Linked DNA regions of Alligator mississippiensis. The main gene of each other region encodes a partner of the protein of the gene in region 3 in a complex. Links are inferred from orthologs where the notes say so. Each region holds a gene or a part of one and is shown on either strand. Other genes may lie near its edges. The genes, in order: BRIP1, PHF8 and TOPBP1.

Evidence for each region.
Region 1: the proteins of TOPBP1 (region 3) and BRIP1 are in contact, whole or in part, in a crystal structure (PDB 3AL3), measured with the Homo sapiens proteins. The link is inferred for Alligator mississippiensis from reciprocal best matches to the Homo sapiens genes TOPBP1 and BRIP1. Residues at the interface, in NP_008958.2 of Homo sapiens: Leu1272, Ser1273, Ser1274, Leu1275, Asn1276, Pro1277, Arg1280, Gln1298, His1311, Leu1313, Arg1314, Asn1315, Glu1316, Lys1317, Leu1319, Gln1366, Arg1407, Gly1410, Phe1411, Leu1414, Thr1466, Glu1467, Ile1469, Ala1470; in NP_114432.2 of Homo sapiens: Ser1129, Tyr1131, Phe1132, Thr1133, Pro1134, Glu1135, Leu1136, Tyr1137, Asp1138.
Region 2: the proteins of TOPBP1 (region 3) and PHF8 are in contact, whole or in part, in a crystal structure (PDB 7CMZ), measured with the Homo sapiens proteins. The link is inferred for Alligator mississippiensis from reciprocal best matches to the Homo sapiens genes TOPBP1 and PHF8. Residues at the interface, in NP_008958.2 of Homo sapiens: Gln1298, Cys1299, Arg1314, Asn1315, Glu1316, Leu1319, Arg1369, Ser1406, Arg1407, Gly1410, Phe1411, Arg1413, Leu1414, Arg1465, Thr1466, Glu1467, Ala1470, Asp1471, Gln1475, Asn1483, Tyr1484; in NP_001171825.1 of Homo sapiens: Gly842, Ala843, Cys844, Phe845, Asp847, Ala848, Tyr850, Ile851, Tyr852, Pro853, Ser854, Leu855, Glu856.

What each region holds. Positions count from the first base shown.
Region 1 is NC_081837.1:3,860,728-3,871,308, reverse strand, and holds the start of BRIP1 (Fanconi anemia group J protein), read right to left. Parts: upstream 4,308-10,581; 5' UTR 3,659-4,307; exon of another isoform or gene 2,909-3,658; 5' UTR 2,868-2,908; coding exon 2,775-2,867; intron 1,242-2,774; coding exon 1,130-1,241; intron 720-1,129; coding exon 525-719; intron 1-524. Other genes in the region: INTS2 (integrator complex subunit 2), read right to left, coding at 6,736-6,905, 8,515-8,691, 9,261-9,366, 9,678-9,785, 10,391-10,581. UniProt on the Homo sapiens protein: DNA-dependent ATPase and 5'-3' DNA helicase required for the maintenance of chromosomal stability. Acts late in the Fanconi anemia pathway, after FANCD2 ubiquitination.
Region 2 is NC_081831.1:28,025,819-28,035,977, reverse strand, and holds the start of PHF8 (histone lysine demethylase PHF8), read right to left. Parts: upstream 3,805-10,159; 5' UTR 3,677-3,804; coding exon 3,579-3,676; intron 3,033-3,578; coding exon 2,947-3,032; intron 1,733-2,946; coding exon 1,612-1,732; intron 645-1,611; coding exon 484-644; intron 1-483. UniProt on the Homo sapiens protein: Histone lysine demethylase with selectivity for the di- and monomethyl states that plays a key role cell cycle progression, rDNA transcription and brain development.
Region 3 is NC_081828.1:137,604,155-137,614,884, reverse strand, and holds the start of TOPBP1 (DNA topoisomerase 2-binding protein 1), read right to left. Parts: upstream 3,816-10,730; 5' UTR 3,708-3,815; intron 2,863-3,707; 5' UTR 2,788-2,862; exon of another isoform or gene 2,709-2,787; intron 2,119-2,708; exon of another isoform or gene 1,741-2,118; intron 1,191-1,740; 5' UTR 1,184-1,190; coding exon 1,103-1,183; intron 1-1,102. UniProt on the Homo sapiens protein: Scaffold protein that acts as a key protein-protein adapter in DNA replication and DNA repair. Composed of multiple BRCT domains, which specifically recognize and bind phosphorylated proteins, bringing proteins together into functional combinations.

The DNA.
Region 1 (10,581 bases), on a different chromosome or scaffold from region 3:
TCTGTGTAAGGCAGGATCCAAAGGGGAAAAAAACCTAGCACCTGACAAGGATCACATGGCCCTCGTACATTAACAGTCAGTTACAAATACCATGGATAAAACACAGAACTACAAGTTACCAGCATTGTCTGTCTTGTGGGTCAAATAAAGGTAGACTTCAGTTAGAGGATGCTCCCAGAAGGCAAGCTATTAATTACTTACTTCCCCTGCATGTCAAATACCAGAAAACAGTATCTAAAGGTTAATAAATACTGTAAAGTGATTCAAGTTCCTTTTGTTGAGCTGGACCACTGCAATACCAGAGACCTGTTCTGGGATTACTTCATTGGCTCCAGTCACCGCAGCCGCTCTGCCCAGCTCCACGGGGCCCCCCAAAGTGCAGGACCCCAGGCGGTTGCCCTGATTCACTCCTCACTAGGGACAGCCCTGGCTGCTTGGGTATTATGCAACTGTAGGACCTACAACTTGAATAGCTATATACAAGATAGCCAGCCCCATAAAACAGAAGACTACTTAACAGTTACCTTTGTTGCTGGATGGCGTCTCACTCCCAACAGAACCTGCAGTTTTACAGTTATTGAAGGAACAAGAAGCACCTTGGTTCACATCCGCACTGGTGTCATTTGTTCCTGGCTGAGAATGGCATCTGCAGAGACATGGCAATGGGGTCTCTGGCTTTTTGCACTCCTTTTCACATGGAGACTCATCCAATGACTTCTCTACAAATGAACCAAAAGCAGGTTATTCACCTTGTCTTAAAAAATGGTAATGCCAAAAATAGAATTAGACTCTCTCAAAACTCTAGATTGAATCAGTTAACAGTAAATTTTGTCTTGGTTCCAACTTAGTCACTGGATACACAATGGATAAGTCACTTGCAGAAACTCTACCCATTCAGTGACATGAAACCCACAAGTCAACAGATAGTCTGAATTATAACTAACCACCAGCCTAACCAGGAGAGAAAGGATTTTAAGTAAGGGCAAGGAAGCAGGTCCATTCCTGAAACAGATGCTGGAGGTTACCAAAAGACCAAATTTATTAACAAAGTCAGTTCTTGTTTCAAAAAACAAAACGAGACACACAAAAAAAGAAACACTGAGAGGAATGACTTTATAAAAGAACTTACCATATAAAGATTGCTGCCATGACAATGCAGAACAAAGCAAGGCTAAACTTTTACCACTTCCTGTAGGGCTCTCCAGCAAACAGTGCTGCCTAGAATTTAACCCCTTTACAATCTGTAAGAAAAAAAAAGTTGACGTGCAAGTTTGTGTGTTGCCTTTCTGGGTCTAGATACTTATATCATATTTATTACATCCCACCAGCGAAGTGTAGTAAACCTAAACAGCGAGTAAGAGAGAACAGGCGGAAAAAAATCCAGCTGAAACCACAGGGAATTTTTTTGGTTGGCTGAAAGTAGTTTGACCCAGTCCTTTACCCTCTTGGAAAAAATACTAATGGATCTTCAGTAACGGCAGGTGGTCAGCATACCTTAGCTCTTTCTCTCGCTACTGATAAACTGTGGAGAAGCTTGAGAGAGTCCAGAGAAGAGCCACTTTTATGATTAGAGGCCTGAAGAGCAAGCCATACAAGGAAAGGCTGACAGATATGGGACTGTTCAGCCTAGAAAAGAGAAGACCTTGGGGGGATTTGGTGGCAGCTTAAAATATATAATCAGGGGTAAGCATCGGGGGCTAGGTGAACAACTATTCACCAAAATGCCCCAGGGGAAAACCAGGAGCAATGGTCATAAACTCCTAGAAAAATGTTTCAGGCTAGATAGAAATAAAAACTTCTTCACACTTCATGTGAGCAGACTCTGGAATAGACTCCCCATGCGGGTGGTGCAGGCACCTACCCTGGAGATCTTCAAAAGGAGTCTGGATACACACCTTGCTGGGGTTATTTGACCCCAGCTGTCTTCCCTGCCCAGAGCAGGTAGGGCTGGACCCGATGATCTCACAAGGTCTCTTCCAGACCTACACTTCTGTGAATCTGTGAAAACCTCCCCAGCAGTCATAGGTGACGTGTAGGGAGGGCATGGGGGGGCACAAGCCCCCGCCCTGAAACTGGCCCTCGCTGGCCAGGAACTGGGAAGCATCAACCACTGCCGGCCCCCCCGCCCCACGAGAAGCACTGGCAGCACTTCTGGTTTGCTGCCAGTGTTTCCGGGGTTGGTGATCGGCCGCTGGGGCAGCGCCCCCACTGCCCCCGGTCAGCAATTGGCCACTGGTGCCTGCCCAGAGCCAAGAGGCACCAGTCACCCATGCCAGCAGCACTATACTTGGGAACAGGGTTCAATAGTGATTCAGAAAGCATTTCTAACCACTTACCTTTTAGTAACAATACCTGATCACGCCAAGTTTTTACAGAACAGAATAAAGACAGTGCAGTACAGTGGCAGGTCAAATGTTTCCCCTTGATATTTTGATTATTAAAATTGATTATTATGTAACAGATACAGCATCCACTCTGAAAAAAACAGAACCTAACTAGGCTGATATTGTCTATTAATTCAGTCTACTACTTCAAGATATAGCTGGGCTTTGTTATTTATTTGCCACTGGAAGCCCTAGTTACAGACCTGGGCACCACGGTCCTAGCTGTGGTACAAACACAGAATGAAACATGGGGAAATGTGTCAAGTAATTGCTTGTATCGATACTAAAATGCATGAAATATTGGAGGCTTGGAATACAACAGGTTAGTGTAACAGAGGTTCAAAACAATGGTACAATTAAATTGAGGAACTTAAAGGTAACTCTACTTACTGCATTCATCATAGCAAGCTGGGACGGGTAAGCTTTGCAAGGAAAGAGGATCTTTATGCCACCAATGGTATATTCTGATATGTCAGAAGACATGGTCAGGTTTTCCCCCCTACTTGTTTAGCTCAGATTTATACCTGTGAGAAAGATGAAAGCAAACGTTGACAAGTTCGGCCTCAGCGCAACATAAGGCACCAAGCAAAACCGAATACAAACTGCTGAGGTGACGTCGGAAAGACGTGGTTCAGGGTAAGGACCACGATGAGATATATGGTGACCATTTCAAATGTGTCCCGCGTTATTACTATTGGATAGTAGTAACAGTAACAGCAGCTTTTCCTGCCTAAAGTCAATAATTTCACCAGGTCCCTCTTCCAGCCCTAAACGTCTGTGAATTTGTGGATGACTTTTCAGCAAATTAAGCAAATATTATTACAGCGCTGTACGCAGAAATTGGGGAATAGTTGCACAGAACGGACTTGGGCCAGTATGAGCATCCTAACGATTGCAAAAAGGACGCTGGGACCTTTTGTACCCCCGAGCCCTGAGGTCTATGGCTCGAGTCCTACGACATCAACCCTGCCACGAGCCCGGCCGTGAGAACACCTTCTAGACCAGCTTTCCGTCTTCACAGCAGAGACGTGGGTTTTCTGGAAAACGGTGAATCGGACAATTTTCTGGCATTACAGCACGATGTGATTTAGCACGTTTATTGGACTTCTGTTTAGTAAACTAAAAACTAAAGAAAAGTACCCCCCATGTTACTTTTATATGTCCCGATAGCCACAAGTATTTGAAATATCCGATTAGGGGGAAACAGATTAAATACAGCACACTGAAGGTGGCTTAAATGTTGTAAGTTACAACTTTGAAACTGCCAAGCTTGCCTCGTATCGCACGGGCATCCGTTCGTTGTTGCTAATTAATTGTACGAAACAAGCTACGCCCGGACGAGTTTCCACCTCTCGACTCCTCTGTGAAATCCTACGAAACGGGGACTTTCGTTCCCACCCAGGACAAGGGTTACAGTCTTTTCTGCAATGCCTCGCGGAGGGCGTTTGTGCCCATTTCTCCCAATTAAATTATTTATTCATTTGTAAAAAAAACCCCGGTTGGTGTCATACAAGACGCCGTCTCTACGACGAGGCCCGATTGCCTTTGATGAAACGCTGAATTTTTAGAAGCGGGACGTTCCCCACATTTTTTTTTTTTTTAAAAAGCGGGGACGTTTCGGAAATTTCCCATGGGAAACACGAATAAAAGCGACGGGAAACTTTCCGTTTGGGGAAATTTGCCGCCCCGCATCTCTGCTGCGCGGCAACGACGGAGCGTTAAAGGTAATAATAATAATAATAATGCGGAGAAACATCCCTCCTGGTCTTCCCAGCGCTGCTGTATTTCGGAGCAGGGGTGGCTGTCCTGGCACGCGGGCTTCGGGCCGGCCCTGGGGGCTTCACCCCCACCAACGGCTTCTGGTGACCGGTGGAGGTTGCGCAGGCCCCCCACAGCGAGCCCCAGGTGGGGTGAAGACCCGCCGCCATTTTGTCCCCCCCCCCGCCGCCGGCGCGTCAGTTACCTCAGGAGCGACCCCCCCCCCCCGCGCTCGGAGCCTTCCCGCCGCGCCGGCCAATCACAGCTGACAGGAAGGAGCCCCGCGCAGCCAAACCGCAGCCGCGCCCGCCTGGGCCAATCGCTGAGGGCCGTGCTGCGTGGCTGGAGCCCCTCCGGTTGCCGCGGCAACGAGGCCTGTTTTGGACTTTAGCCCATTCCCCCGTTCTCTGTGGTCAGTAAGGTAGTGAGACGGGCCCACACGCATTGTGATGTCACTTCCCCCCACCCCGAGCCCACAGCGCCTCCCCCAGGCCGGGCGGCTCATGGCAGTGCTCGCCTGCCGGCCTCGCCAGTCCGCGCCTCTCCTGGAGCCACGTGGCGACAAGCCCCTCCGGACGGAGGTAGGTGGAGAGGGACCGTGACACCCGCCTTGGAAAGGAGGAGCAGGACCACGGACAGTCCCCAGCCTGCTGAAAGCTTGCAAAAAAAAGAGCATTTTTTGGTGGGGGTGTGTTTCTCAGTTGATCTAATACAAGGCATCATTCTCTTAACTACAAAATCGCAAAATTTTGGGATTTAATTGGTCTAATCAAAGGGATCATGGCTGAATTAAGAGTTCTCAAGTTCTGCATTGAATAAAAGGGATCAGCTCTGAACTAAGAGTTCGAGTTTTGCATTGAAGAAAAGAGATCATTTTTGAACTAAGAGTCCTCGAGTTTTGCACTGAATAAAAGGGATCATCTCTGAACTAAGAGCTCTCCAGTTCTGCATTACAACATTTATAAACCCATTCAGCTTTTAAGTCGAGTAAAATCTTGCTCCGGTGGGAAGCGACTGAGGAGGGGGAGAGGGAGAGAGGAATCAGTGGCGGTTATTTACATGCTTTACATCAGGATGATCAAACAGCACACGTTTGGGGCACGTGGTGTTCATGCCTGTTGGGAGAGCTGGGTTTGATCCACGAGCTCAGGGATAACACCGGCGCTCGTACTACAGCACCTGTTATACACGCGTCCTGCAACACGCTCCTCTGCAGTACTGGTCTGGCACCTTTGACAGACAAACTGCTCAAGACGATTTGAAGGCCACGCGTCTTTAAGTAAATCAGACTATTTCTGCATGTGAATAAGAAAGAACCGGTTTGCTTAACCAGAACCCCCCCCAAATATTTCACCTCACTATTTTAACGACACCAAATGCAGTTATTTTAAAACAGCGCATCCTCCTAGCACGACTGGTTTCATAGCAGAAGCGTGTTAAAAATGCCGGGCTCGTCTCTGGCACAGCAGTTGGACCTCGTGTGCCCTTCAACGGGGCAGTACAGCAGAACCCTCCGGGCTCACCCTGCACTGGTCTCAGATGCGAGAACTACCTGCTGCTTTCAGTAGTTCTGGGCAGACCAAGCACCACAAAGCTGAACCATTTCATCCAAACAGCTGTCCCACTCCATCATACAGTGCTTCTTGGAGCCCTGACTAAAATATACAGCTCCCTAGTGTATCCCAGCTTTCCTCGCTGTAGCCTCCTGAGCTTCAGTTTCTTTTGCATCCCGGCCCGATAACAAATCGAGATCTTTTCTTTTTGCTGCTTCTGGTTCCTCTCATCTCTGCATTAAAGAGAACTGGAGCAGCATTATAAAAATAAAAAAAATATTCTTGAAATAGAATGTGCTCTGTTGTTTTATAGTACTGGCTCATTTAGAAACTTCTATGCCAAGTTCAAGACTTCTTCAAAAAGTTACTCAAAACTTACTTGACAATTTTGCTAAGCAGCTGATGGAGCTGCAGAGATGCACTTTTAAGTAACCGCTCTTAAGAACTTAACCATACAGCTGTAGTTTGAAAAAGGCATAAAAAGTTTTACAGTCTTTGTCTAGCACACAGTGAATTTACACATGCTATTTACAGTAATTATGCCAGTCTTCTCCATGCTGTTCTTTAGGGTGTTTATTCCATCTTGCTTTGGAGATCTCCGCTGCAATCGGATCTTTGAATGAACATGCTTCACTTTTTCTAGCAGCTCTCTCCCTTACCTTACATTTTAGCGTAAGGTGGGGAGGTTCAACAAGGTAAGACATTATCAGGCTCATTCAGCAAACTGCTTTGCAAAGAGTGCATGTGAAGACCTTGTAGGTGCATTACTGCCTCACTGCAGAATTCAAGCATCTGGAATTCAGACCCTGTCTCCACTGGAAGAGTTGTCATTTGGCAACTTCAATAGTCAGGAGCTTTCACTGAAAGCAATGTTGGTCTCCCTAAGAAATCTTCTGTTTGGACTGGGTCAGCTCACCATCTACACAGACTCCAACAAATACAAGAGATGACTTGTTCCAGTCCAATTCCTATTCCACTTTGGCAGCTGTTACCACAATTAGATACTGTACATCATGGTGCTTGTTGCATTTCTGCCTCCCCTAAACTCCACTAACACTCATGTTAATTATTTCAATTATGGTATTTTCCACGCACTGGCATAACTGAACATCAGGGTCCAGGCTTGTTATGTCCTTTGCACCACTTTTGTAAGAGGGATCTTTACCAAGTCTTGATACTTCATTTGGCTTCTCCTTTAGTTGCTGGAGACCTAGGGAGAATTAGACAAAAATGACACTGTTGAGGAGAACACTTGTGTACTACGTGTGTAGAGTGAACAGGACTTCAAATCACAAGTATGAAAAATCACTATTTTGATAGGGATGCAGTAGACTAAAGCCCAGGCATGTGCTAATTTAATCCCAGCAGCATTTCTGGAGACATGCTCATGTCATATGACACGTCTAACTTTTGATTTATTTTCCACTGTTTTGTTTTTCCTGTCAAAAGGACAGTGGTTTAATACTGCCTTAAGGGGAAAAGATTAAGATGCACAGCTCCCCTCTGAAAAGGGTCTTACATTTGCTGTAGAAAAGAAAGTGACTTGTCCAAGACCAAATGAATTAGCAGCTGAAAAAAGAAGAATCTGGCTCTCCAACTCCAACAAGTAGATCCTATACACAGAACCCTCGGTATACAGACTGCCTCTATATAAACTAAGGCCCGTGTGCATTTTATTGTTTTGGAACATGAAGTACAGGCATCTCACCTCCTGCAATTTAGCAATCTGCTTTAATTTCTGAAAGATTTCTTCATATTTGCTAGAAATCCAGTGAAAGTGCTACGTGCTCATACCCCGTCAGGGTGAGCCTGATTTCAGTCCATTGTACCCAAAACAGCTAGAATTGAAATCACGCAACACTATACATAAAGCCCAAAACAACCTCAGGCAGCTGAAGTGTCCCGAGATTTTGTAAAGCTTCACTGTTTAACAAAAATGCAGGAAGCAAACCACTGCTACTGCTAGGGGCATAAAGATTGAAGATGGAAAAAAAATATGAAGCCAGGACTTTACGCACTCATGAATTCAGGACAATTTCAATAATAAATCTGGATTTTGTCAAAATGAGCATCAAGCAGCAAGGAGGATAGGTTCCAAGGAGGAAAATGGAGATACTTATTTTAAGCCTGATGAACTTGTATAATACAACAAAATGCAGGCAGAGAGGGGGTCTCTCACCAACTACACATATACCTTAGTAAAAAAAAAACAAAGTAAAACAAGGCAACTGACCGTCCAGGTGACTCGAGCTATCTTCAGTGGCGTATTAAGACACTGAATGATTATGGGTGGGACAATACACTTTAGCCAAAAGGTCCATTTTACTAAGAACTAACTCTTGCCTGCCTATTTCTTAATAAGCTACAGGGGAACCGAGTAAGACTCAAACATTATGGGGCATGCTTTCAAATGGCCGTGTGGGAATTTAACTGCACCTTTCTTATGAAAGTAAATGGGGGTTACACAACTGAAGCCTCATACAAATCTGAAGTTTCACTTCCCAGGCTTTAATTCCTAGCAGTGTTACATAGTGATGTAACATAGCCTGTTATAGCTCAATTGTGTCCAAGAACTAGAACACCCAATTAATCTATCCCTACAGAAGGTATTTAAAGTCCTATGCGGACTATAAATTATATTAGAAGCCAAAAAATCTGCTCATGCCAAACTTATGATGGCAAATTTCATATATCACACCCCTAGGACTTTTCCATTTACAAATGTGTGAGGGTGACTTTCACAGTGTATTCGAACTGGTCTCTCAACTTTCAATACATTACAGATGTAAATCATTGCCTTGGATCATATCATTACTTACGTGTAATAATTGGATCAAAGTCTCTTGTTTGTGTGGCAACGTCAGAGGCACAAACTTGTCCTATTTGTATCAGCAGAGACATAATATCCTCATACAGTGGAGGAAAGGCTTGGCAGAATGAGACCAAACAAGGCAGGGTCGGCATGAAAAAGGCAAAGCGCTTTGACTGGGTTAAAACTGGCAATGGAAAAAGGGAAATGTTTAAAAGAGCTGACTATTAAAACCAAGCATCAAGAGCTGTCATTACATTTGTGATCATGAACGGCCGTAAGAAGCCATTTCAGGTTTTATTTATTTGATTTTTCATCATCGAGGCAAAAAAACTGTAGCAGACATTACTCAAAGCAACTGCCTGATGCGTTTAAAAGATATACCAGAATCCTCTCTGAAATCAGCAAAATAAAGAGTCAGTTTCTTTCCTGTTTTCTAATTGCTATTAAATCAATTCCCTGGACGCTAGTCTGAATTGTTACTTCATTTATGTCAGTCACCAACAACTCAGAAGAGATAAAAGCAATTTTGCTCCTGTTTGGCAAATTTCTTCCCTCTGCTTACCACATCCATTTAAAACTTTCATGGGTTAGGATGCGAGCTTAACAGAGATGAAAAACAAGTATGAATATGAATATCTACTCTTTAATGTGTTTTCAGTCAAAGAGCTCAATATAGTTACAGAGGTTCTAAGAACATTTAGATTCGTATGAAGTTAAACCACATTTACATAAATGCGTTGCCTGGATGTTTACCTGTCAGCAGCGTTCCCATGACATTGATAGCTAAGCGAGCCACACTGAGAGATTTAGGTAGCGCGTACTGGATACATAAATATGAAAGCAGCTGGATGGCAAAGATCTGCAAGGAGCAAAAGGGAAGAGGTAGTGAACAATTCCATTCTTATCACTGCTTTGTCTTTTCCATCCAAAATTGATCTGGACACAACACCTGGCAGGTAAGTTGTTCCCTTTTCACAGACAAGCAAACCAAGGCTCTGACACGACACTGAAATGTTTCTAGAAACGGTTGCCAAATAAACATATAAAACACACTTCAGTGGATTTAATGTCACTGGAAACGGAGTCTCCACAGCATCCTACTGCTGCAGTGTTTTGCAGCCCAGGATTAAACAGCTGCAGTTCATCTCAAACAACATAGCCATAGAGTACCTGTTTTTCAAGTTCAGGTTGGGCAATGAGCTCCGGTATGAAATCTAGACAGATGTGCATGGATGGAATCCCAGCCACAGTCAGTGCTAGAAGTTCACATGGATAACCCTGTTTGAGGAAAACAAAGCTTATGTTCAGAGAAAGTCACACTAGAAGCTTAACTGCGATTACACTGGTTTCAAGGAAGCTCTGCATTCACACAGGTTTAAACAGGTTTACTCATAGTTCTGTTTTATTCAGCACCGTAGGTTGCTAGTCTGATCCCAGCTCAGGAAGGACTGATGCCACACCCAGACCCTAGAACAGGCCTTTTTTCCTCAAGGCTTAGTGCATTAGTTAAATACCACTTATCTACCAAAGCAGGCTGCAAGGGCCCACAGACCTTTTGTCCTCTCTCTCTCTCTTCCGTTTGCTGCACATTGATCTCTTTGTCTATCATGCCAGTTCCACCTGGCTACATACAAGCATGTTCTAAGTGATGAGCAAAAGGAGCCTCAACCTGCTCCCCCCTTGGCCACTGCTCTAAGTGTGCACCAAAATAGCTGGACTGGTACCAAAAGCTGGGTGTAAGATAATTACCACTCTAAATAAGCTTTGCCAAATTCTCTATGGTGATGCTTCGCATGCCTTCAAGTTCACCAAGCTCCCTAACCAGCCATCACCTTCAGGACAAGAATAGAAAATAAAAATGTGGTAGCCAAGGAAAAGCTGACCTGGAAGTGAACTAGTTTAACTATGTTGGGATCCGCAATGTACATTTGGTGCAAAAGGCAGCAGATGAGGCACTGGACCTCTCGAAGATTACACAGCAGACTGTCTTCTTCTTCTTCTAGTTCCTGAATCTGGGGTCCAGGGCCAGCAGCACTTTGAATATTCTTTAGCAGGCTGTGAGAGTTACTGCTGT
Region 2 (10,159 bases), on a different chromosome or scaffold from region 3:
CCCAGCACCACCCCCACCCCGTCCATTTAGCCCTTTCCCAGACTGCATCCAGGGCCCAATCCCCTCCCTGTCCATATGGCTAGGGCCCAGCCCCATTAATCAACAGTCAGCTCTTCCTGGTCCATACTGCCAGGGTCCCCCAATGATCTGTACAGCTATAACTCTCCCAACTCCTGGTCTATAAAGCCAACCCTCTACCCTCCCTGGTCCATACAGCCAGGACCTAACCCTCCCATACCATAAAGCCAGGGCTCCCTGGTCCACACAACCAGGGCCCAGCCCCCACCAGGCTGTACAGGCAGGACCCAGCCCTCCCTAGTCCATATGGCCAGAGCACGTGTCCATACAGCTAAGGCCCACCCCCTCTCTCAGTCCATAGACCCAGGGCCCAGCCCCTTCCCCCACCCAAAGCCATACAGCCAGCCCCTCCCAGTCCACAGTCCATATTGCCAACCCCCTTCCACCCACCCCGCAGGTCCGTACCCACATAGTGCTCAATGTCGTGGGCGGTGAAGGTGGGAGGAGGCAGGGTCATGCCCAGCCCATCCTTCTTGGCCACCAGGATGGGGACGCTGAAGCTGTTCTCCTCCAGGTACTCAACGGTCAGCTGTGACCCACTCGGCCGCAGCAGGATCTCATCAGCACTGCAGGAAGGAGTGGAGAGGAGGTGTGGGGAGGAAGGGCAGGCGTCAGCACTCCGCAGCTAGCTCTAGGGTAGGGTGCCTGAGGAACATCTGAATATAGCACCACACAGGAAGGGGCTGAGATGCAGCCAGCTCTGGGGTGGAGGTGGCTGGCTGAGGATAATAGTACATGGGGAAGGCTGAGATACAGCCAGTTCTGGAGTGGAACAGCTGAGTATAACAGCACACAAAAAGAGCCAAGATGCACCAAGTTCTGAGGTGTAACAGCCAAGTATAAAACCCTACAAAGACAACTGAAATGCAACCAGTTCTGAGGCGTGGTGGCTGGAGACCATCTGAGTATAGCATTGCACAGGGGAGGGAGAGATGCAGCCAGCTCTGGGGTGGGGTGGCTGGGGAAAGACTTCATATAACACCACATAGGAAGAGCTTGCCTAGCACCAGTATGCAACCAGTTCTGTGATGCAACAAAAGAAAAACTGCTGCATATAACACTGCTTGCAGAGCATTAGCTTGGCACCAAGTAGCAGCCAACTCTGGGGTGGGGTGCCTGGGGAACATCTGCATGTAACAGTACAAGGGAAGGAACACACAGCACCAACATGCGGCCAGTTCTGGGGTGAAGCAGCTAAGAAATGGCTGAGCATAACACCACATGAGGAAGTCTGAGATATGGCTGGTTCTGGTGGGGTGTGGGGTGGCTGGGGAGCAGCTGAGTATAACACCATGCAAGAAGAACTAAGATGCAACCAGCTCTTGTGGAAAGTAGCTTAATATAATATCTCAAAGGAAATGCTAAAATGCAGCCAGCTCTGGGGTAGGACAGCTGAGAAACAGCTGAGTATAACGCCACATAGAGAGCACCAAAATGCAGCCAGCTCTGGAGTAGAGCAGCTTGGGAGTAGCTGAGTATAATCCCACCCCTCAGCCCTCCCTGTCACCCCACCACTGCCCCTGCACTCCTCACCTGGGAAAGGTCCGGCTCCGCAGCTCTTTGATGAACTGCGCGCTGCCTGTGCGCACAGCCCGGCCAGCATCTCTGCCCAGCGTCCCATCTGGCTGCCTCTGGGGGCCACGACGTCGCTTCACTGCAACAAAAGAGGGTCAGAGCTGGTATGCAGCCAGCTCTGTGGAGAGGCAGCTGAGGAACACACGAGTATAATGCCGCCTGGGCACATCAACCTGTCACCAAGATGCAGCCAGCTCTATGATGGGGCAACTGGGGAACAGCTGAGCATAACGGTCATGGGTAAGGCTGAAATGCAGCCAGCTCTGAAGTGGGGTGGCTGTGGAATGGCTAATTCCCCATGGGAAATATCACCTGGCACTTAGATGCAGCCAGCTCTGGGGTGGGGCAGGTGGGAAACAGCTGAGTATAACACCATACAGGGAGGACTGAGATGCAGACAGCTCTAGGGTGGAGCAGCCAGGGAATGATTAGGTATAAATGCCATGCTAGGTGCATCCAAAGGAACCAAAGTGCAGCCAGCTCTATAAAGAAACAACTAGGAAACAACAATATATAACCCCACATAGAGACAAAACAAAAATGTCACCAGCTTTGACGTGGAAACAGCCACATATAATATCACAAGAGCTCCTACAGCACTAAAAAAGCAGCCAGTGCTGGGGTGAAGCAGCCTAAAATGGATGCAAGTACTGAGAGCAACACTATACAGAAAGGGTTTGCTGGCAGTGAAATGCAACCAGCTCTGGGGTTGGGGAATGTACGCATGAACATCACAAGAGCTCCTACAGCACTGAGAAGCAACCAGTGTTACGCTGGAGCAGCCCAAAAATGGCTGAGTATAACACTGCATAAAAAGGACTTGCTAGTACTGAAATGCAAGCAGGTCTGGGGTGGGGCAGCTGGGGAACAGCTAAGTATAATGCCACCTCAGAGGTGCCAAATGGAACTAAGATGCAACTAGCTTGGGGGAGAAACAGCTAAGGAATGACTACATATAGCACTGTATTAGAATGATATAAGAATGCCACCAGCTTTGAGATGAAAACAGCAATGTATAACATCACAAAAACAGCTTCTACAGCATTGAAAGGCAGCCAGCCCTGGGATGGAGCAACCCAAAACTGGCTGAGTATAATGCTGCACAGGAAATGCTTGCTGGCCACAAGTTGCAGCCAGTTCTGGTGTGGCATCTTCGAGGAATGGCACAACATAACACTGCATGAGGAAGGCTGAGATGCAGCTGGCTGGTGGGGGAAGCAGAACAGATTCCCTCCCACCCCCAGAGACCTCCTTGCCACCCCCACCCAGCAGCAGGGGGGTGTTACTACTCACTGACAGAGGGTCCATGCAGCACCTGGCAATTGGGACAATGGTAGAGGTCAATCTCAGCCGCCATGTCCTCCTCCACCCCCACACAGCTGTGGGATGCACAGAGTTAATTGTCTGCAGGCCCCAGTCCCAAATCAGACCCCACCCTTAGATGGGCCACCCCTGCAACACCCACCCACCCTCAACTTGGGGTCCCCTCAGGCTCCCCCCTTTCCCTGCCCCATGGCCCTCTATAGCTCCTCTGCACCCCCCCCCATACTCCTGGCTCCTTTCTCTGCCACACAGCCCCTCCCCCCCTCCATAGCACCACCATAGCCCTCTGCCCCACCCTATAGTCTCCCCACAGCCCCCTTTCCCTGCCCCATTGCCCCCACCTTACCCAGGCAAGAACCCCTGAATTGGGGTCCTCTACCCTGTCCCAATGCCCACCACCCCTGTGTCAAGAGACAACCAAACCCCTGCTCCTGTCCCACCAGCCTGGGTTCTCCATGGTACCATGATGCATCCAGCTCTGGGGTGGAGCAGGGGGAATGGCCAAGCATAAAGCTTACTGGAGAACAGTCCTGGGGCAACTCCGTACCCCCATAATGGCCCCCACCTCTTTCCCCACCCCCATAACTGCCCCGGGTCCAGACCTGCCATGGAACCAATCCTGGCAGGCATCACACTCAATCATGAAGCGGGTCACATCATAGGGCAGGCGGCAGAGGCAGTATACAGGCACTGAGGCCATGGCGGCCCTGAAGTTGGGACTGTGGGGGAGGGGGCAGGGATGGGGGGGGCCTGCCCTGTCCCTGGGTGCCCCTGATATCCCAACCCCCCAGTGACCCCCTGCCCCCTCCCCTCACAAATACCCCCCAACACCCCCTGCACTTGAGTGACCCCGTCCCCTCACAGATACCCCCTCAGATACCCTGATACCCACAGACACCCTCCTGCCCCAATACCCCTGTCTCTCCACTCACCTCACCTTACTGCCCCCCACCCCCCAAAAAAATACATTGGGGGCCCAAAGCCCCCCCTCAGCTGCCCTTCAACCCCTCCCCCCCTCCCCACAGGGGCTCAACCCGACCCCAACTCCCCTCAGAAAGAGGGAGAAAGTCCACAACTGCCCCCCCGGCTCCTCTCCCACTCCCTCTCCTTAAGGGGGGGAAGGGTTCTCGCCCGTCTCCCCTGAGGGGGGTTACCACCTCCCCACAGGGCGTGCGTGGCGGGGGGGGAGATCTCGTCCCTCTCCGCGCGCGTGGAAGCTGGGGGAGATATGGCCTCTTCCCACCCCCCACGCGGCCGCCTCTCCTCCTCCGCCTCGCGTGGGGGGTTCCCGGCGCGGTCCCTGCTCGGCCCCAGCGGCTGCTCGGGCTCTGGCCGCTCAATAAAGTTTATTCAAAGCACGGAAAAGGTGGGGAAGGAGGAAGAGAGAGCGGGAGGAGGAGCCGCCGCCATGTTGGGGAGGTCAATAGCGGGTGGGGGGTGGGAATTAGCGACGCCGCCATCTTGAGGAGGTTCTGGGAAGCATCTTGAGAGGGGCGGGGGAGGCGGATTTAGTGGGAGCGGCCACCTTGGGAGTGGCAGGGTAGGGCCTAAGAAGTGCCGGCCATTTTGAGAGTGGAACCTCAGCCAGGCCAAGGGCGACTGCTATCTTGAGAGTGGCAGGGAAAACGACGGGGCAGCCATCTTGGGAGTGGCAGGTGAAGCAAGCCAACGGGCGGCAGCTATCTTGAGATGGTGGACAAGCCAAGGGAGACGGCGGGTGCTCCGCTATGGAAGACAGCCAACGATTGGGGGGCAGGCTGAAGGTGCTATCTTGAGAGTGGCCGCAGCCCCGCTTGAAAAGTCACCGGCGCCGCCATCTTGGGGAGGGCGGGAAAGGGGGAGCAAGGCGGCTACCTTGACTGGTGCTTGCCTGTCGTTACCAGCGAGAAGGCACCATCTGGGCGGGGCCTGTAGGTGCCATGTTGAGAGTGACATCCTGGCCATTTTGGGGGTGGGGGAGATTCCATCTGCTTTCCCTGAATGGGGGAGGGAGCTAGAACCCAGGCATCCAGCTCCCACCACCAACGCAATCCTAATCCACTAGAACCAACCCCCTCCCCTCCCCTCGGTGGGAAAGAGCCCTGGCGTCACAGTTCCTATTCACCGCACTCCCCCTCCCATAGCCGGGAGCGAACTCAAGCGTCCCGCCCCGCCCCCCCACAGCCAGGAGAACTCAAGTGACCGGGGTACCCCCGCACCCTCCGCTCCCACAGCTGGGAAAGAACCCAGGCATCCACCCCCCCACCCCACCCCCACGCAGAAGGGACACCACTAGGCGCTGACAGCTAAAAGAATAAACTTTTATTCCGACTGGTCCATCCAGCTCTTCTGGGGGCACAGTGTGGATTCTCCTCGAGCCTCAAGCGCAGATTGTGGTGCCTAGGCTCAGACTTTCCCAGGGAGTAAGAGAGAGGCTTTGGTGTGCACAGAGCTTTTGGGGGGAAAAAAACAAAAACCCAGCCTAAAAGCCAGTGCTAGACATGCTGGGGGGAGAGGGGGCTGAGCATAGGGGTGTCAAGGGGGGGGGCTGTATCTGGGTAGCAGAAAAATGGCGTCTGAAGGAAGAGGTCTGGGCAACAGGCAAGGGGTAGATGCCAGGAAGAGGAGGGGGGAGAATGGGCCTGGGCACGGGTGGGTGGATGAACGGTGTGGGGATAGCTAAAAACAGATGGAAAGATAAAGGGTGTAGAATGCATGGATGGATGAGGTGTGTGGGTATAGCTAGGCAGATAGATAAAGGGTGTGCAGGGATGGATAGACAGCGAGTGTGTGGGAACTGCTGGATGATGTGTACACAGCTAGCTAGACAGACAAAGTAGCGTGTGAGGACAGATAGATGGATGATATGTATGGGTAGAGATAAGGCAGCTGGATAAAGAGTGTGTAGGGGTGGTCAATAGGGTGTGTGGGGATGAATGGGTAGATTGATAAAGAGTGTGTGGGGATAGATGGTGTGGGGATGGATAGGTGGTGTGGAGATAGCTAGACAGATGGATATATAGAGGGTGTGTAGGATACAGGGTGTATGGGGATGAATGGTCTGGGAATAGCTAGGCAGATGAATAGATAAAGGGTGTGTTGTGATAGACAGATGGTTTGGGGATAGATACACAACTGGATAAAGAGCATGGGTGGACAAATGGATGGACAGATACATTAGAGTGTGGGTAGCTAGACAGACCAAAGGGTGTGTGTGAGGATGGATAGTTAGCTGGATGAATGGATGAGGTGCATGGGGACATCTGTCTGTCTAGCTGGATAAAGGACATCCATGAGGCTAGACAGACAGAGGGGGCAGCTGAGGATGGATGGATCCATTGACCACCTGAGGCAGGCTATGGACACATTTCATGCCCCAAGTTTTAAACTTCTAACATCAAACCCCCCAAAACAGACCAACTCACTCCCAGTGAGATCAGTCTGGGACACGAATAACAGCCCCAGCTTCCTGAACCCCAGCTGACAGCCCCATCTCCATCCTCTGACAGCAGAGATCCCCCTGACCAGCTACTATTCACCCCCTTCCGCCCCCCACCTCCTAAACCCCAGGACAGGGAATCCCTGCATGGGCAGGATTCTTTCCCAGTGTGGTGGGGAAGCACAGGATGCCTGGGTCCCAGCCAGAAGCAAATGCTGGGATATTGCCAGCAGCTGAGTGCTGGAATTGGCTCCAGGTCATGATCCCCCAAGAAGACGAGCCAAGGGGGTCAAAAGAACACCTTGCCAGCAGAGGAAGGGGGGGGGGGGGCAGGGTTTAGCTAGATTCACTTTGTCAGAGACACCAGTTCCTTTGCCATGGACTCAAAAGGCAGCAGCAGGGAAGAGCCACCTCTTGGCCAAAGGATACCCGGGGGATGGAGAATCCACCCAGCTGCTGAGCAGAAATATCTGAAGAACCATCAGAAGAACAATTGGAGGAATCAGTGGAGGAGCCAGCTGGAACTGTCAGAAAGATCCATCATCAGAAAAACATCAGAAGGAACTGTTGGAAGAAACCATCAGATCCATTGGAATATCCATTATCAGAAGATCCACCACAAGGAACCACTGAAAGATCCATCATCAGAAGAACTAATCACAAGGACCATCCACAGAATCATCCAAAGGAACCATCAGAAGATCCATCAGAATCAACTGTTAGTTTTTCTGATGCTGGATCTTCTATCAGAAGAAGCCCTTGGAAGATCCAGCTGAAGAATAATTATACAACACACGCTGCCAACTCTTTTGGCCACAGCCACCCAGCCTGACGTGGGCAACTCCCACTCCTGCATGGCCAACCCCTGCCCCTACCGTTATTTCTTAGCATACCATGCTCCCCGCTTTACCCAAAACCCAAGATGGGAAACTGGGGGGGGGGGGGGGGGGGTCGGCGAGCTACAACTTAATGAGGAACCCAGATTCAAAGTCCGTCTTACCCACAAGGCATTTTCTTGGCTGAGTGGGGAGGGAAAGAGATGTGTAGTAGACACATAAATATAGTACTTGCTCTATAAGCAAGGGTGGGATTTCAAACCTTCCCTGTCCCCCTCTGGCAGGGTGCTGTGGATAGGATGTGAGGGGCACAAGTAGGGTTGGGGGCTGTGGTTTAGGAGTGAGGGACAATGGCATAGGTAGGGCTAAATGTATAGGTATTTAGAATTTATTTTACTATAGGGATTGAGGCACTGGTAGGCTTCCAAATTGCTTTAAAATTGTAAATGTATCAATAAAACAATGCATCAATAAAACATACCTAAATATATAGTGATGTTTTGTTTTAATCACAGAAGAATGAGGATTCCAGGGTTTTTAATCAGAGAATTTGCTATTTCTTAATCAGAGAAAACCAGGATCCTTGGTAATTAGCAATGACTAATTATGACAGCTTTCCATCCCCTATAGGTTTTTCACAATAGTCAAGTAATTAAATAATCATCATTAACATTAAGAAGAATCAAATATAAGCCATTATAAATAGACTAACTATGCCTAATGAATTAACTGAGACTAACAATGCAGTAAGGTCACTGCCAGGATTAATGCATATATGCATAATGAGATACACACTCAAAAAGGCTTTCAACTGGGGATGCTGAATAATAAACAAGGATCCTTAATACCTGTAATATTAGGGTTAATTAATTAGGTTGATTCCCAATCATTATTCTAATGATAAGAAGCACAAGTCATTAATAACAATTGCTTCAAACAATCCAAAGAGTCATCTCTTGGAACCTGCCTCTTCTAATTAGAGAGGTAAGGAAGAGGGGAATACCACTGGCCAACAATGCTTCTAATTGGGATGAATATTAAATGTGACAAACAAGAAAATGCAAGGAGACCAAATTCATAATGAATCCGATTCCTTCTGGATAACTCTTCTTTAAGGTCCAGAAGAATTAACAAAAGAATTAAAAGCCATTTAAAAATGTATAATAGTCCATAGGGATTATTATGGTTAATTAGCATGTTTTTTCTCCAATAACGAGAAAGGGCCCATTGATTATTTTAATAAAGCTGCATTTTTCTTTACTCTGTGTGTGTGTGTATATATTCCTGTTATTTATTTTCATGTATTTACTTGGCATATCATATATTATTATATTATGTTTTATTAAAGCTTTATTATGTATTCTATGCCTTACTTTTTATGTTAACTTACTTAGTGTTATATTAATTACCATACTACGCTAATAAACCTTCATTATCTATTTTACATATTACAGTAAACTCTCTGGTAACTGGCACCTTACAAGCTGTCATGCTCTGTTAACCAGCATGTTGGCTTGTAAGGAAAAGTGAAACCAGAAGTGCCCACTGTGGCACTTCCAGTTTCTCTGAGCCCCCATGGCCTGGGGGCATAACAGGCTGTGTGGGGCTGTGCAGGGCCCGCCTCCTCATCCCACAGGGCCCACAGGGCACGTGGGAGAGATGGCAATGCTGCGGGAGGGACAGCAGGGCGGAGGGATGTGGCGGGAGAAGCGGCAGCCAGGCACATTTTGTTATCTGGTATCCCCCATGCCCAGAGGATGCCAGATAAGAGAGCTTTTACTGTACCAGGCATGCCTACACAAGATGTTTACTGCCTCAGTAAACATAGCGTGTCTACAGGTATGCCCCTATTAGGCTGGAGTAAATTAATTTACTCCTCAGCAGGAAAGTCTTGTAAATATAAGTACTATCCTGCTGCAGATTTTTTTTGTTTTTTTTTTTACTCTGCAGCAGTGCATGTATAGATGCTGCCCTGGCTGGCTGGGGCATGAGGGTGCTTCAATGAGAGGGCTGCCTGCCAGCTAGCCCTGCTCTGGGAGCACTCTTGTACTCCAGCCAGCTCTTCTGCAGCCCATTGAACCAGGGGGGAGCAGCCCCAGGCTGGCAAGCTGACCCCTGGGCCGCTGCCAGCTGGTGCTGGGCCAACCCAGCTCAACCTGCAGCAGTCCCAAGAACACGTTCAAATGGCACACCCAAGAGCAATAAACTCTTATGCAATAAGCTCCAGGGTTTATTGCTTCATATTAATTGCATGTGTAGACACGACCACTATCAGTTATTTTTATTTAGAATAATATTATTTAGCATAATGCTAATAAACCTTCACTATTTATTTTATGCTTTATCACTGTCATTTTTTATTTACTTAGCATTATATTAATGACCATATTATGTTAATAAAGCTTTGTCATTTATGTATCCCAACTGTATCTCTTATATTAACTTAGCATTATATTATCATTATGCTAATAAAGCTGCCTTATTTATTTTATACATCACTATCACTTATTTTTATAACTTAGTATTATATTACACTAATAAAACATCATTATTTATATATTGCTATCACATATCAGTATTGTATTGTTACACTATGCTAATAAAGTTTCATTGTTTATTCGTTATCACTAATCTTTAATTTACTTACCATTACATTATTTTACATTAATAAATTGTATTATGTATCACTATTATTTTTAGCTATTTGCTTATTACCACATTATGTTCTTTATGAAGCATTATTTATGCTTTACTATCATTATTTGTATTTATTTAGAATACACATGCACACCCATCTCTCTCTATATCTATATCTCTAATGTATGGTATATCTCCGTATGTATATTTTTACAAATCTACATATATAGCTTTCTATCTATATATTTAATCTATATCTTCCTATATATACATATGTCTCCTATAACTATCT
Region 3 (10,730 bases):
TGGGAACTACAGACCATATGCAGCTGAAACGGCTTCTAGTAAAATTACCATACAAAAGTCCCATTGTATATTCATCAATAACCAGCATACTGTATAAGTTGAAATGGACAGTACACAAACTTGAACAGATAGGTCCCGATCCTACAAGGTACTGAGCATCTTCACCTCCCACTGACTATCCAAGGGAAAAGGAATTGACACTCTCCTTGCTGTATCTATCGTACAATGGGTACAGGACTATCCTGAAAGACCCTCCAAACCCTACTGAGCGCCAAACATTTTGGCAGGAATGCCATAAAGTAACATCCAAACCCTCCAAGTGACACGCTGATCCCTTTCCCTTGCCTGATCTTTTGCTCTGCCTTCTGCTCCCTGCCCTGTGCTCTCCACCTAATCTGTTACTCTCCTCCTCCCTGCCCAATCTACTGCTGTGTTCCTTGCTGATTGGCTGCATGCCACACACACAGGCTGACCATGCTACTTACGGCACACATGCCATGGGTTGGCCATCCCTACTCCAAAACCCTCAAGGCTGCAATTCACTCTGCAGTGTGAATTAAAGAGTATTCTCCCCAGACAGTCAATGGGCCCAATCTGTCAAATGCTGGCCACCAAAGCACAGCACTTATTCAAAGGTTCATTCAAATCTTGTGTAATGCTTTATTCTTTGGGGACTTAAGCTTATTCAGTCAAAAAGAAATGCCACAGTACTATGCATCATACTTGGCAGCAATCATTTACAAAATTAGACCCAAAGTTTTGAGTGTTTCATTTCCTTTCAGGAGGTAAAGCATAGCTCACTGAACCAGTCTCACCTTGAAAACTATTTTGTGAAAAACCTATGATTTCACTATAAAGATCTTTCTACCATATCAAAGTTGAATTCACCCACTACAATTAGGTGAAGTATGAAACCGACAAAACACTACTCCTTTTAACAGGAAAAAAATTACACAACTGTAGTTCTACCTAATGCTAACTGCCTTCCTCATATAAAGACAATCTCTTTTATTGATGTTTAGAATTTACAAATAAGCATGAAAGTGTGAGACAGAAAACTGAAGTCAGGATTATAGCTAGTAAAACTAGCTAACGTGCTTACCTCAAGAGCTTTAAAAAAATATTCAGAATTTCCAGAAGACTTTATAAATTTCACAAAAAAAGGCTCCTTGTCACTTTTCATCCTTTAACTGATGGAGAAAACAAAAGATTTTTCAGTGTTATATTCCATGTTTCAAAAAAACTATATTACACTTTCAAGGCAAATCATGAGATGCAACTGACAGAATTTACCTTTCCATAGAAACAAAGGTCTTTTTCTGACATTTTTTAATTATTTACCCCATAAGAGCAAGTTATTCCCATGTAGCATGTTTCTAATTAGCTCCCACATTATACCAGTAACTATAGAACTTCATCTCTTCAATTCATCTTCCACTCTAATGCAAAATGAGTGAAAGAGAACTTATACACACCTTGGAATAATCATTTGTTTCCTATCCACTGGTAAAACTCTCTGTGGGTACTAAAACTAGCACTAAGGAAAGGGTGGTTTGTTAGTTTATAAGATTTATACAGGTTTCTCTTGCTTCATGCTGTACATGTGTTCCTGGAAAACTTGAATTCCCATAAACGGAACCCACTTTACAATGTAACAAATAGGGATACGTTCCAAGAACTCAACTGTACTGACCCCCAGACCTCTTTCTACAACTTTTACAAGACAATTTTGGTACTCACCAACATTACACACAAGCACAGGGTGGTGGTGAAAATTACCATAATAGTGATGGCAACTACAGAAACATATTGCAGACAACAAGCGAGAAGCTCATATCTACACAGGAGACTATATTTTGGTGCGTGTCACTCCCACAATGCACCACACAAAGCAGCTGACTGTGGGCTTCCACCACAGCGATCACCTACGAGTGAATTTACCTCGTGTATAACAGATTTTTGGTATAAAAAGGGACATCACATAAGAGAGAATTCGCACATACAGAACCCTAAAAGCAAGGAAAAGCTGTATCCCACCCTATCCGAAAAGCTAAGAGCAGCTGGCAATAAACAGACAACCCACAGACAGGATTTGCTAAAACCCAAGAATTCCGACCCCACTCCCTGAAACCACCACCTTCCTGCCCAAATCCCTACACGAACAAACCCTCCTGCCAATCCCAATCACACTCTCCACCCACCACTCCTTTCCTTTATTGCATCCTTGTGACAAGACATTTAACAGAATTTGCAGATTTGCTGGAATCTGACAGGGCCATGTAGTGAGTGCTTCTGTATGGCAAGCACTTTTCACATCAAGATACAAAAATCTCTTTCCAATGCAACCCACTTCCTACCTACCCTTCCCCACTACAGACCCACATCACCCGCAAAGGAGATTCACCCCACCTTGCCCCAACATCCCTGCCGAGACAGGCAGCAAGCTGTTCTCCCCTTCCCCCAAACACACACAACACAGATTCCCAAGAACTGGAACAAAAGAAGGAAAAAGACCCTCGGTCTCCATCAAAGGGAGCCCTTCAGCAGCACCTGCCCAGAGATGTGTCAGCTGTGTACAGCTGCAGGCTGGCCAGATCCTTCTCCCACCTATGGGTGGCCAAGCTTCTTGCTGGTGGCTGCCCATTGTCCTCTGCAACAATCATGAAGAGCTAATGATGGAAGGATAATACAATCCCAGGCTAGTTTACCTTTCCATGGACCTCTTTTTTTAGGTGCACACCTCTACTCCTTTAACAGGGCTCTCTTAGATGCAGTAATTTACTCAACTGCGCTTTCCCGAAGTGTGCGACTAAGCCCCCAATCCTGGTGTTCACTCCTTCTTTCTCCCCAGAGCACTTCACTCTAAGCAAGAAAAAATAACATTGTATTTAGTACTTCACCAGAGAAGCCCACAGTTCCCAAGCAAGAACCTATGCACCGCATTCCTTGCCCCACCTGAGGCTGAAAAACCACTCCCTTAAAGGGCAGAAGTGGGGGCAGGGTGGCACTTGACACCAGGAGGTGTCCTGAGGTCCTTTCAAGGGTGCCATCAGGGAAGAGGAGGGGGGTAGACACAACATCAACACTGCGAGGGTTGTAAGTGCAACTCATGAGATAAACCCAAAGATTTCCAATAGGAGCCCAGAGGCAGGCGTGCTCTTCCTGGGTTCTTTGCAACAGATAAGCCTTGCTGGTATTACTCTGCAGGAAAGAAAGGGGTGAGAATGAAGAGCTGGCATTTGCTGGGGGCAGCTGTGAGCTGGGGGGGAGCCAAAAGCCTATCCGGGGCAGGGGCCACATTGTGCCTACCCTGAGGGTCCACCATAAGTCCACCTCAGTTCAGGACCACTTCTTTAGACATGAAGTGGTCCAGGGAGGCAAGAATTTTTGGAGGCAACAACCTGGGGTGCTCTTTCTGAGGGGGCATGGCCCACCAAGCAACAAATACAGCCCGCCCTGCTAAGAGCAGGCCGTGGCGGGGCAGGAGGCAGCAGAGGAGAGGGCTCAGCACCCCCAGTTGGTTGCTCATCTCCATCACACTCGCAGGTGCTCGGCGCTGCCGGTCTCAACCCCTGGGGCGGCGTGGCGCAAGCCCCGCCCCCCGCGCGCCAGGCCAGTAGGGTCCCGGAGCGCGGCGCGGCCTCTGCCCCCGTTCCGACCTCGGGGCGGGGGAGGACAAACGGGTGCGGCGGCCCCCCCTCACCCACCGGACCAGACCGGGCTGGTGCTGGTGCTAGCAGCTCCCCGCGCTCCGCCGCGTCCCTCCCCGGCTGGCGGGAAAACCTAGCAGCGTCGCACGGCGCACGCGCACCCCCCAGACGCTCGTACACGCGATTGGGCGCTTTCCCTTGTCACGTGACCCCTCCCCCCCGGTTCCGGATTTGCTTTCAAACGTCTGCCGGCTTGGAGTGCGCGTGCGCAGGGGCGTCTCGTGACGTTCCCGGGGAGGGGGTGGGGCCTTAGTGTGCTCCCTTGTTCTGTGCGGGGGGGGGGCTGTAGAGGAGCTGTGTTCAATCAGCGCCCGGGAGGGGGGCGGTAGTCTATGGGCAGCTCGGGGACCCTGGAGCCCCGGTCGCTGCGGCGGGCGAGCTGCGGGGGAAGCCTCCCTAGATCTGCCCTCCCTGTCCCTGGTACCAGAGCAAGGTCTCTCGCTGCCCTCTCACGGTCCTGTCTGCGTCTCAGCCCTGTGGGGATCTGGCTGGAAAGGACCTGCAGAGGTCATCTAGTCTGATCACCTGCCTGAGCTAGAGTCAGCCTTGTCCAAACCATCCCAGGTGGTTTACAATGAAGTGTAAACTTTTAGAACACCAAAAATTATGGGAGTTGGCAATACTGTAATCATAGTCTAAACCAGCCTTTCTCAATCTCTGGGGGGTGACCCAGAAGTGGGTTGCAAGAAGCTATGGAAGGGTTGTGGCCAATAATGAATTCTCCTTCAAAGGAGAAAAATGTGGAAAACAGTGGGTTTTCCCTTGCGGGCTGCCCCCCATGCCCCACACACCCACCTCCTGCCCCACTAGGGGTGGGGGGCAGCGGGGCAGGAGTGTGGGGTTGGGACTGGCTATTGATGCTTACAAATGGGTCCCGGTACAAAAAAAGGTTGAGAACCACTCATCTAAACCCTACCTAAGTCTGCAGTGATTCCTGACAGCATCCTAACCTGCCCAAGCTAACATGGGAACCCCAGCGGCAAAACACAAAAGCATTTGCTCGGTAAGGCTGAAAACTCCAGGAGAGCAGAGAAACAGTCTCATTCCTTATCACCACCTGGCAGGAGATGGGGGCGAGCCACTTCCACATAGTGATCCCTGGTACTGTCTCTGATGGCCAAGAGCTCCCGGATTGACAGAAACAAAGCGCACAAAGATAAACGTGGTCACTTTTTTTGTCATACAAAGGAAGAGCCACCTGGCAAGTGAATTCTAGCAAGTTTCAGTTCTACTCACAGCACTGATTCAGTGTCCTGAAACACCAGTGCTCGGGGTTAAAACAGGTTTGACAAATCAAGTGCGATGGGCTGGCTGGTAGTGACTTAGCCCAGGGGTTTTGAAAGGAAAAAAGATGATTGGAGGACTTGGGATTTCCTCACCAATCAAGCCCCAGAGACTCACCCTCCCTGTCCCCTGATTGACCCCTTGGGTCACTTGGAGGGGGATAAAAGGGGCAGCACAGCTGACTCTGGGAAGAGACCAGTGAGGGACCATGAGGAAGGTGCTTCAAAGAGCTGGCAAGAGTTGGGCCAGTGGGGTGGGAGCAGTTGCCCCAGAAGCACCTGAAGGAATGGGACCTGCAGGCAGCATTTGGACCCTCAGCAGCATGGTGTGCAGCTGGCAGGAGAGGCTTCCTACTGGGCTCCAGGATCCCCTATGAGAGGCTGTGGCCAGCAGGAGGGGCTCCCCCACTTCAGCAAGGATCTGAGCAGCAACCTGAGAGGTTCCCAGCTCTGCTTCTGGCTCCTCCAAGTGGAGGCCAGGCAGCTTGACATGAGGCCTGGGCTCTGGGAAGGTCAAGACCCCTAGCAGCTTAAAGTAGTGCTATCAGTAGTGGCTGTGTGGCAGCATTTCTGCCTACCACATGGGAGCTCTGAATTCAAGTCCCAACTGGGGTAAGCGAGCTAACAAGAAGCAAATCCTGCAGTTGAAAGAGACCATTGTGCTTTCCCCCTTTCTCTACTTCCAGGTACCTAGGCCCTGTATTTCCTTGTCATTTGACATTTTGTGCCTCTTTTATATTTCACCAACCAGTATAGTTTGCTCTGCTGTTTGTGTTTTATGTTTTGTTAACACTGTCTTTTGTCAACGATTGTAAGTGTCTAACCTTTGTTGAATCCTACCCCCCAGGGGGCCCCACTACACCCCCTGATTTATGCCTGTTATGTTCCCAGTATTGTTCCCTCATTAAAAGGTATATGGTTAAGTCCCCATTGGTGGTCTGGCTCTGCTCTATAGGGGGAGGAGAGTCCCTACACCTCCCACAGTGCTTGTGCACCTGCTTTGATCCCTTCAATTGGAGAGGGGGTACCTCTTGGAGTACCACCCGGGTTACACAAATCAGTCAAAATGTTTCTTTTCAGCTACTGGAATTTCCCAAGGATCATTTGGGACCCTACAAACTGTCATGAACATTTAGAATAATGTTCCCAACACTTACCTGTACATGAAACGCAGAGCTAGAGATGCCGTGAGTCTTGTACTCCAGCATTTGCAGCTCACATGTGGTCTGCAATGTCTTTTTTTTTTTTTTTTTTTTTTAATCACTTTCTGTCTGCTCCTGGTGAAATGGAAGCTATAGCTAAGGATACCAGCTAAAAATACTACACAAAGGAACACAAGCCATCAAGGTATGGGTTTGCATCATGACAGGATGATGCCATGATAAATTATGTCCTACCCCTCCCCCCTGAAAGGGACTGCATCAGATAAAGTGTTACCAATTGTCATCACTGTTGACCTTGTGAGGTGTTATTGGTGTGTTGTCAGTGTTGAAGCCTCAGGAACTGCAGTGTTAGCAAAGTCACAGCCTGGAGATCCCAACACCATCGTGCCTTAAAGGACCACAGGTGCCATTCAATGACAAAGATTTGGCCAGGTTTATTATCTACAGGCATGGCCCTAAGACATTTTGACCTAACAAATACATCGGACCAGGAGTTAAAGCATTTGTACCTGTTACAGGGTAGTTGGCATGATACCATGCAGGCTCCCCTAGGCCTCTATGAAGTTCCCATACTTTCCAACCCTCCTTTTATTAGGGCTCTGCGAAGCTTCCGTCACTGATTCGATTCAGCCTGATTCGTTGCCTGAATCTGAATCAAATCAGGAGACCCTTTAATCTCTCCGAATTGATTCAGAGAGATTTGATGATTTGGACATAGACGCAGCTTTAAATATTTTTCTATATACCTCAAGGTACCAAGCAGCTCGTGAATGCTGAGATGCTAGTGTGGATGACGCATCCCACAGGAGCGTGGGGGGTCCCCAGCACACTCAGTGGTAGACCCTGAAGTGGACCAGAAGCACTTCCAGTCCACTTCCGGGTCTACTGTAGAGCATGCAGGGGACCCTCCCTCCACCCCCCAGCTCGGCAACTGGTGCCTCCTGGGTCTAGGGGGGGCACTTGGGTCCCCCCGCAGCCGATTACCGAGCCAGGGAGTGCAGAGGGGGGTCTCCCATGCACTCAGCGAAGGACCCAGAAGTGAGCCGGAAGTACACTTCATCCACCCCACCATCTCAGCGTTCATGAGCCGTGCCTGGTACCTCGAGGTATGTAGAAAAAACATTTAAAGCTGTGTCTATGGCCAAAACGCTGATTCTCTGAATCAGCATCAAATCTTCAGATTTGGATTTGGCCAAATTGAATTGGGACAGTGATCCAAATCAACTAATCAAATCACTGTCCCCTGAATCAGGCCAAATCTGAATCGAATACGGCCCGCTTCGCACACTGCTACCTTTCATACAATGATCAAAACAGATTACATACTGCATTCCATCTGTATCTTAAATGTCTCAAAACGCCCTGTACCATTGGATAGTTTCACATCCTGACCTGGGTGTTCCGGTTCTAGTCTTCATCACTGGCAAACCCTTGCAGTTGAGGATGATTGTCTTCCATGATTGCTTTATCTGTGGGTTTGCAGATGGCTAATGAGACTGATCTGGGATAGACAGACTCTGTTGCAACTTGGGAACATATTTCCGTATGGAGTGGGTGGCTCTGGATTCCTGATTTGATCCACAATACGCTGTTTCTGCCAGTCCTGCTTTTCCATCTCCTGTTGTTCTTGTAAGGTTTCAAAGTACTAAGATTCTTGCAACAGACTCTTCCTCCATTTGGGGCAGTCCTGGATGATAGTCTCCCACAAGTTGATGTTGATGTTACATTTTTTTTTAAAGTGGCCTTGAAGACATCCTTGAAATGCTTTCTCTTCCATTCTCTTGAATGTACATCTTGACTGAGCTGGGAGAATAAAACTTGCTTCAGGGATCTGGACTTGGACATTGTGGCAGAGCACCTTTGGGGTGCTCACCACATTAGGGTTCTCACAGGCTCTGAGGGGAGCCTGCTTTGGAGGAGCAGCAGGGGAAACCTCCCCCAGGTAGCATTTTAAGGGGAGAGGTGTGTGGCAGGGCATTGGTGGTGCCTGTCACTTTAAGACCTGAGCCAAGCTGCCAGCAGGTGCTTGACTGTGGCAGCCATTTTAGATCCCTGGCTGCCTATATAAATAGATCAGCTCCCTGCTGGCAGCAATATCATCTGGCTGCAAGGCTTCATGTATCATTCTGGAGGTAAGGGAGGAGCTGTAGGGGATGGTTTGGAGACTCCTGGTCCTGGGCATGACCTGCCAGGAGTGGGTGGCCTGGTGGTGTGGGAGCCTCCAGGAAATGCCAGGCCCATTACCACCCTGGTGAAAGGCGGGTAGGGGCGCCTTAACCCTAGTCCTCACCTTCAGGTGGGTTTGTGTAACACCAGAGGCAGTTGGGGCCAGGTATGGCTGTGGCCACCTGAGCCCACCGGGCAGGGAAGCTCCTTGGCCCTGAGTGAAGGGGGTGGTGTGGAGCCCTGAGTGAAGGGGGAATAGGCCAAGGTATGTCTCTAGATGTCTGAGGCTGTAGTTTGGGCCGGAGGCTGAGTAAAGGGGGGCTCAGCCTGAGAGAGAGGGGCGAGACCTGACCCCGGTAAGTCCTCCACCACTGGGAGGCTGAGTGTTGGTCAAAAGCAAGACCTATAGTGAGCCCAATGACCTGCTGCTCCAGGGGGGGAGTGAGGGTCCCCGTGAGACCCTGGAGCACCAGTTGTGGTGTTGGATAAAAACGCCATGTTGAGGGGTAGCACCAGAAAGGAGGCAGAGATGAGGTACCACAGTTGGGGGGGGGGGAGAAGAACCAGAGGGCTGAGGGCCCAGTACATGTCGATATATAGGGTTGCCCTGGAAGGGGCTAGAGCAAGCTTAGACTTGGTCAAGTAATTGGCTGGCCGCTACCCCGGTGAGGGTTGCGAGAGAGGCCCAAAACACGGTATTACTGCCACCCAAGGAATGGACTAGCTAAGCCTATGGCCTAAGGGGCCCACTCTAAGAGGGAGCAAGGCAGAATAAGTTGTCAACGCATGAAAGAGACTCTGTGAGAAAGGTTGTAGTGTGTGTGAGGCCCTAGTGAGAGGAGGGCAGTATGAATGTGTGTGTGACTGAGGCCTGATGACAAGGCCTAAGCTTGGTCCGGCTGTAGGCCGGGAGCACTGTGTCATCTGGATGCCATCTACAAGGCATGGGCTGTGGTGTAGGGAGGTACGGAGCCGCAGATAGCGCCCCCTGGCATCAGGGCAAGAATGGGCAGCCTCCCACCTTAATTAACATCTTAATTAATTAAGAACAAGGCATGGCAGGCGAGTCAGGTGGGTGGTGTGCCCAAAGGCAAGTGGAGAACCTAGCACTGAGGCTAGGCGGGGAGTCCCACTTTGCCACAGACATCTAGATGGCTTGGCCCATGCAGTAAAGCTGATGTCAGATGATCATTGCCTTGATACTTGTGGTGTTTCCTTGTGAGAGGACACTAATGTTGATGCATCTCTCTTCCCACTGGATTTGAAGGATCTTCTGTAGGCAGCACTGAAGGTACTTCTCCAGCAACTTGGGGTGACTCCTGTACATTGTCCACATCTCAGCTCTGTACAGTAAAGTGGGGATCACGACTGCTTGATAAACCATGAGCTTAGTTTTGAATCTCATGTCATGATCTTCGAATACCCATTTCCTCAGGCGTCTGAAGGCGGCACTTGCACTTTTAAGGAGATGCTGGATTTCTTCGTCAATGTCAGACTTCTGTAATAGATGACTTCTGAAGTATGAGAAATTTTCAATGTTCTCCAGAGTCTCACCATAAATCTGAATTACCACAGCTGGGGACTGCTCAGTAAGAGCTATTGATGGAGGAATTTTCTAAATGTTAAGCATCAGTCCCATTTTCTTATATGCCTCATAAAGAGGCAACGATTTCCTGAAGGTCATATAAGCACTGGACTATCCACATATCAAGTTTTGCTCACATAATGAGTTCATGCATCAATCAGGTTTGCTAGTTAAACCTACTCTGGCAAATGCTTTAGCAAAGCTTTTGTGTAAGCAGTATATATTTCAGCAAGGCCTACAAGCAAACATGCCACATTTGAACATAAAGCATAATAGAAGACCTTTAGTGTCTTGGGTAGGCAGTCAGGAGTAAGGGTACAGAATTATTTCTCTAACAGCTGGTATAAAGGGTTTCTTGGGGACAGAGGAAGTGACCTCATTTTTAAGTGATTTGGGGGAGACTGAACCTGTGAATCAGGAAAACAGAACTGGAAAGGACCTCAGGAGGTCTAGTCCAACTCTGCAGGACAAGCCATGTCTAAAATAGCCCATCCACATGATTTTCTAACCCGCATTTAATCTTCCAATGATGGAAATTAGAAAATTGAAAATCTCCTTTGTTGCAATCTAGACTGGTTACTTCATGTCCTGTCCTAGTGCACAGAGAGAACAGTTGATAACCATCGTCTTCATGACCAGTCCATCTATTTGAGATCTGAAGTAATGAGCAGCCTCAGGGCATAGGCACTCATAAGGTTTAGGACAGTTTAAATGCAGTTTAAACCTGAAGTGGACAGACATACGAATCTGTTAAACCAGTTTAAGTCCACCTAGAATGGTTCAAATCTGGAAAATCAAGTATTATTTTGAACCAGCTCACTGT